2 linked regions of the Oryctolagus cuniculus genome follow. The protein of the gene in region 1 binds, or shares a complex with, the protein of each later gene. Links are inferred from orthologs where the notes say so. Each region holds a gene or a part of one and is shown on either strand. Other genes may lie near its edges. The genes, in order: BBS4 and BBIP1.

Region 1 (3,821 bases):
TGGTTCACTCCCCAGATGGCCACCACAGCCACAGCAGAGCTGATCCAAAGCCAAGAGCCAGGAGCCTCCGCTGGGTCTCCCACGTGAGTGCAGCATGTGAGTGCCCAAGCATCTGGGCCATCTTCTACTGCTTCCCCTGGCCACAGCAGAGAGCTGGATCAGAAGTGGAGCTGCTGGGACACAAACTGGTGCCCATAAGGACACCAGTGCTGCAGGCAGAGGCTTGGCTCACTACACCACAGCGCTGGCCCTGGTCTTCTTACTCAGTCACACTTGGATTCATCAGGGATCTAACAGTGCTTTTGAGAGAACTGTCTTCGATGGTAGTTTTGAGGCTTGGCTAACTTCCTGAGAACACCAGCTCTGCCAGCCCCTAGTTCTGCCTTCTGCCATCTTACAGGCCCTGTTTTCACATCTTTGCAGGCCCCTGTAAGAGCTGGTGCTGTGGTGTAGCTGGTAAAGCTGCCACCTGCAGCACCAGCATCCCATACAGGCGCCAGTTTGCATCCCAGCTGTTCTACTCCCCACCAGCTCCCTGCTAATGTGCCTGGGCGAGCAGGGGACAATGGCCCAAGTGTTTGGGCCGCTGCACCCTTGTGGGAGACAAGGATGAATCTCCTGCCCCGTGTCTGGCCCAGCCCTGACCACTGCGGCCATTTGGGGGATGAACGAGCAGATGGAAGACCTCTCTCTGCCCCAGCCTCTCCCTCTAACTCTACCTTTCAAATACATCCATCACTCTGGGAGAAAAACCAAACGTGCTCTGTAGAAGGTGAGAAGCAGAGCAGCAACATTTTGTAATACTTCCTCATGAGAGCCACCTTTCCGTTCTCGTGTTCTTCAAGGAGAGCCTGCGTTCTCAGGGTGCAAGACGGGAAGCTGTGCCTTGCCCTCCAGCGTCCCAGCCCCGTGGGCAGGGCAGCATCGGGGTGAAGGCTCTGGGGCCTCACGGCCTGCGGTACCTTGTAGTTTGTAGGGTCGTAAGTCAGTGCATTTCCCAGGTATTCAAACGCCTTCTGGTAAATGCCAAGCTTAGAAAAAAGCAAACCAGAGAATTTATGTCAGCAGGGAGACGGAGTCAAGGAGTCTGGCCCACTCCACCCTCGACAGAAACATCCTGACTCTTCGGAGAGAAAAAGCTACAGGTATCACACACAGAAAACTGAAGAGCCCCCATGTTCTTCTTCTATTCTGTCAACACGTCCCCAGCTGGGTCAGTGTGCTTGTGGGGACCGCCTCTGCCTCCCGGCGTGGGCCACAGGGCCGCTGGGCGAGATGAGCTGCTGAGCCTCCTCTCCGTGGGCCCCGAGCCAAGTCGGTGAGACCTGGGGCACGCTCCCGATTCCCTTGTCAGCAGAAAAGCCACCCTGGGGCAGCATCAGCTGGGGAGGCTGATGAGGGTGGGTGGGTGGCTCCTCGGGGACCCCTGGGCCCTGAGGCTTACGCAGTGGAGGGACAGAGCTGGCAGAAGCCCACTCCCATGCAGGCATGTGGAAGGGACTCCTCACTCCAGGTGAGGGCACTTTGCCTTGTCTTTCCCAGAAGCCTCTAGCTGGGAAGGAGCAACAGCAGAGGGGTCTCCCAGCCCTGGACACTGCTGCCCGTCAACAGTGACGGAGCCCAAGCCCTGGACACTGCTGCCCCGTCAACAGTGACGGAGCCCAAGCCCACGCAGATGCCTCAGGCTCCTTCCTTGACTGGGTAGGAACTGTCATTGTAGAACCCTAACACAGAACTGCTCTTCTTTGGAGTGCATAAAATCAATTCTTGTATCAAAGAAAACCAAACACAGACAGCAAGGCTCATGTGTTTCAGGTGTTTATTAAAATGCGCTAATTATCGAAATAAAAGAAAACCACCAGGCACACACACCTACACCATTTCTAGTACCAACACAGGAAGGAGAGTGAAGCGCTTTCTCACCTGTAAGTAGAGTAACCCTAAAGTTGTAAGCAGCTCTGTGTTTTCTGGTGAGAACCTGCAACACAGAGACGGGAAGCAGAACATGCGTGAGACCCTGCCCTGGTGCCACACCTGAGCAACGCCACTGAGCCCCCACTCCCACTCCCACTCCCGTCTGCACATGCAGTTACCTTGGGTGGGCACTTGGCCACTTAGGGAACCCACATCCCATGCTGGAGTAGCTGGGTTCCAGTCCCAGCTGGCTCCTGCCTCCAGTTTCTTGCTGATGCAGACCCTGGGAGGTAGTGGTAACAGCTAAGTGACTGGGTCCCTGCTGCCCATCTGAGAGACCTGGACTAAGTTTCCAGTTCCTGGCACTAACCTCAGCCCAGCACGGGCCATTGCAAGCCTCTGAGGAGTGAATTGGCAGACGGGGAGCACACTGCCTCTCAAATAAATATGAAAAAAATTGGGGTCCAGCACTGCAGCATAATGAGCTAAGCCACTGCCTGCAATGCCAGCATCCCACATGGGCGCTTGTTCAAGTCTTGGCCATCCACTTCCGATCCAGCCCCCATGCTAATGTGCTGGAGAAAGCAATGGAGGATGGCCCAAGTTCTTGGACCCCTTCACCCACATGGGAGACCTGGAAGAAGCTTCTGGATCCTGTTTTCAGCCTGGCCCAGCCCCAGCTGTGGAGGCCAGTTAGGGCGTGAGCCAACAGATGGAAGATCTAACTCTGCCTTTCAAATAAATAAAAATGAATACTTTGAAAAGGAAAAAAGTTTTCAAGAAAGAATAGGTCGTTTCAGCCCAACCTACAGGGAAGACTGCTCAGCAAGAAAGGTACCAAGACTGAATGCAGACTCCATTCTCAGGGCCTTTTTGAAGGAGGACCAAAGTCCTAACAAAGAATGGTGTGTGACTGTCTTTGTTACACTAACAAAATAAGCAATGTTCAAGGCCACACACAACAACCTCCTCTTGTGTTCTGTTCCTGGTGTGTCACAGGACCAGGCAGTGTGAATTTAGGATTCCAGGAAGTGTCAGTTAGGATCCCAGGATCCCCAGTGCTGTGCTCTCAAATTAAGAAGTCGACCTAAACAAAAGCAAGACGGGGCTGGTGCTTTGGTGTAGCAGATAAAGCCTGCAGTGCCAGCATCAAATATGGGTGCCGCATCAAGTCCCGGCTGCTCCACTTCCAACCCAGCTCTCTGCTATGGCCTGGGAAAGCAGTACAAGATGGACCAAGACCTTGGGCCCCTGCACCTGCGTGGGAGACCCGGAAGAAGCTCCTGGATCCTGGCTTCAGATCAGCACAGCTCTGGCTGTTGCAGCCATTTGGGGAGTGAACCAGTGGACGGAAGACTTCTCTCTGCCTTTCAAATAAATAAATCTTTAAAAAGGCAAGAAGAGACACTGCAGCCCTCGGAAGGAATCAGCTGTTGGCCTTGGGAAGCAGTTCTCAGTCCTTACTGGCATTTGTCTTTGACACAAACCAAAGCAACAGGGGCAGGTGCTGTGGCACAGCAGGTTAATGCCCTGGCCTGAAGCACCGGCATCCCATATGGGCGCCGGTTTGAGAACCGGCTGTTCCTCTTCTGATCCAGCTCTCTGCTATGGCCTGGGAAAGCAGTAGAAGATGGCCCAAGTCCTTGCGCCGCTGCACCCACGTGGGAGACCCAGAGGAAGCTCCTGGCTCCTGGCTTCAGATTGGCACAGCTCCGGCCACTGCGGCCAACTGGCGAGTGAACCATCGGATGGAACACCTCTCTCTCTCTCTTTTTCTCTGCCTCTCCTCTCTTTGTGTAACTGACTTTCAAGTAAATACATCTTTTTAAAAAATGCTATTAAAACAAAAACAAAGCAACATAGAGCTGACAGCTGACAACACCAAAGGGCAAAAAATTATGTCACAT
Region 2 (2,934 bases), on another chromosome or scaffold:
GTAGCGAGCTTTTATTAGGAATGTCAGAGAAGTAGTGGAGCAAGAGGAACAGAAGCAGCTTCACTCCATTATAACTTGCAGTGGGCAGAAAAGGCAGGCACTGAGCCAGCTTCTCCACTTTATAAACAGTAAATCTTTCTTCTGTGGTGATGTTGTCAAGATGCATGGCAAGACTGCATCAGTATGGTGAAATGTAAGTGTGTGGGACTCTCTGGAGAAGCATCAAGTCTACAACTTTGTCCAGAACACCTTAAACATAAGCAATTAGTAATATGGGGTGAAACATTTCGAGCAGATATGACTGGGTAAGTGGCATATATGCCAGGATATTCCTAACAAAATACTCATGAACAGTATGTCAGTCCTTTAGCTTAATAGTATCTCTGTATTAGAAAATTACTAAGCTGAAAGCATGTCATCATTTAGGTTTTTCAAGAGCCAATTTAACCTATTGTGTTCCTTGCTTACAAACTGCAGCTGTGTAGTCAGTAACTTCCTTAAGATGTTTTTACTATGCAAAGGGGATTGAAAGAACTGTTAACTATTGAGAAGTCAGAATGTTGAGAAATGTTTGCCTACCTCCTCTTCCTCACTGCCTCACCCCACTCTCAAATGGTGGTCATGGGGAGATACTATCAGTGAACCACGGTGGCTACATGTAAACACCTGTTCCACAGCTAGTACTTATTATCACCTTTGTCTAAAATCCTGTAGTACCAGTTTTTCACTGGGAGGGGAAAAATTTAGAACACCCAGCCTTCCAGGTAACACTAGTACTGATTGATCAAAGTTGACAAGCTTTGGCTGCTTGTATAAAAACTATCTCAACCTTGTTCCAATTAAAAGAACCACAGGAAATTAATGGGAAGAGTATGCAGAGATAAAGTAATCCATTTTCTGTACAAATTGTGATTTTACATTTTAAACTATAATGGAAATGATCTCAGTTATGTTTTGGGGAATTATTCCTGAATAATCTTTTTTAATTTTAGGAAAAAACTGTATCCAACAATTCAAAAATGGCAGAAGTGAAGTCAATGTTCCGCGAAGTTCTTCCAAAACAAGGTATCTACATCACAAATACTTAGGACTATCATAGGGACCTAGAAAGTAACAGCAGAATAAAACCTCTGCAGCTATTCTGTTCTTTTATGTCACATTTACTGTCCACTGTTACTAGATGAAGTCTTCAAAAAGTTCATAAAAATGTTTTGTGAAAAAAATGCATGGATTTTCTTTATTGCAGCAATATAAACCTTGTCATTCACTTTTTCACAGACTTTTTGAAGTATCCTCATACAATTTTAACAAGTAGGCTATAAGAGGAGGAAGTAAATGAGGCAGTGGTTCTTATACCTGCAAATCCTGTTACCCAAGATTGCAGATTATATGAAATTTTTAATGAAGTAATTCAATTCAGAAATATCTGAAACTGAGGAAAAAGAAACCAAAATTAAGCATTACAAAAAGCTAGTTTACATTAAGGGTTTCATAACTGGAATAGTTATGTTAAATTAATGTACTTTGCTGTATTTTTATGTACTATGTATATATTTTCCTAAATGTTATTTTAAATTAAACAGCTGACACAAAATGTTGTATATCTTATGGTAGTTTAGTCTTCAGTAGGAATTCAAAACTTGTCTTCCTCAAGACCACTGTAGTGTTAAGAAATGTTGCCTATGGGGTGACTTTGATCTTTCTGCTCCCACAGCAGAACTCAGTCTAAAAGATTTTCACTGAAAATGGTTTGCCTTTGGACTTTAATTCTAGTGCAAGTCCATATCACCAAACAACTGGGTTATCCTTCACAAACTAATTCTTATTTCTTGTCAAACTTAGGGCAGTTGTCTGTGGAAGATGTAACCACAATGGTGCTGTGTAAACCAAAACTTTTGCCCTTAAAATCTCTGACTCTGGAAAAACTGGAGAAAATGCAGCAAGCAGCACAGGATACAGTTCGCCAACAAGAAATGGCAGAGAAACAACGGCAAATAACACACTAATAACCTACCACTTTAGGGAACTAGGAATCACCCTAGCTTACCTACTATTCAGTAGTAACTAGAAAATAATCTGGATCTGTAAACTGAAAAGTATTTGTTAATAAAACTGATATTCATAGAAATACCTGTATTGGTATTGGTATTTCTAAATAAAGACCTATATTGGTGAATTTAAACACTGGTTTGTATTGAACAGTTAATGCTGAAGCAATAAAGTTATTTTTTTACTTAAACCATGTTTTTAAAATTGCATATCATAATTCACCATTCCTGTTGGCCATCAGTTTTATAAGGCAGCATTCTTAGCACAAGTGATTAAATGCAACCTTCTTTATACAGAGGATCATATCAGGCTTTTACATTACCCACATTACAGTAAAATTTACTTGAGAGTAATTTGAGGTTTTTTAACCAATTTTGTGTGTCTCTATCATGTTTATACCATTTTGCTGACCAGTAATGGACAGTAATGGTCTAATGATGAGAAAACTATTTCTTAAACAAATTTGACTTTTAAGAAGCCCTTACCTATTCTGTAATCAACTTAAGCTCTTAATTGTACTAATTTTAAGGACTTAAGAATTACATGACTACTTTTATGACTCAGGTATCAAACACAATTAAAAATCTGGAAATGGTTATCGTGATTATCTATATAAGCCTAAAATAACGTGGTTTTGAAAGAGCCCATGATAGAAACATGAACATTAAATTTGGAATTTTAATTCTAGTAAGACTGAACTAGAATAGGAATAGGTATATTCCTAAGAATACCTCTGTAAACTATTAATGTAATTCTTGGTTGATTTCTTGGAGTTGATAGGCAGTTAAAATTAGCACATACCTTTAGATCTGGCCAAATATTTAAGCTTTGCAGAAGTCAGAAATGTGTTACTTCTTTAGAACTAAAGGATTACTGATGGTAGGT

The links.
Region 2: the proteins of BBS4 (region 1) and BBIP1 are in contact, whole or in part, in a cryo-EM structure (PDB 6VBV), measured with the Bos taurus proteins. The link is inferred for Oryctolagus cuniculus from reciprocal best matches to the Homo sapiens genes BBS4 and BBIP1. Residues at the interface, in NP_001069424.1 of Bos taurus: Leu210, Leu213, Tyr236, Leu240, Ala241, Ser244, Gln247, Thr248, Ser269, Pro271, Asn274, Asn275, Met278, Phe281, Gly282, Lys284, Tyr298, Leu299, Pro301, Leu302, Asp303, Trp304, Lys305, Ile306, Tyr308, Asn309, Leu312, Leu315, Thr316, Gln318; in XP_003587939.1 of Bos taurus: Met7, Phe8, Arg9, Glu10, Val11, Leu12, Pro13, Lys14, Gln15, Gly16, Gln17, Leu18, Tyr19, Val20, Glu21, Asp22, Leu28, Lys30, Pro31.

Annotation. Positions count from the first base shown.
Region 1 is NC_091443.1:110,558,206-110,562,026, forward strand, and holds part of BBS4 (BBSome complex member BBS4), read right to left. Parts: intron 1,979-3,821; coding exon 1,924-1,978; intron 1,032-1,923; coding exon 963-1,031; intron 1-962.
Region 2 is NC_091446.1:19,349,805-19,352,738, forward strand, and holds the end of BBIP1 (BBSome-interacting protein 1), read left to right. Parts: intron 1-992; 5' UTR 993-1,019; coding exon 1,020-1,065; intron 1,066-1,842; coding exon 1,843-2,006; 3' UTR 2,007-2,182; downstream 2,183-2,934.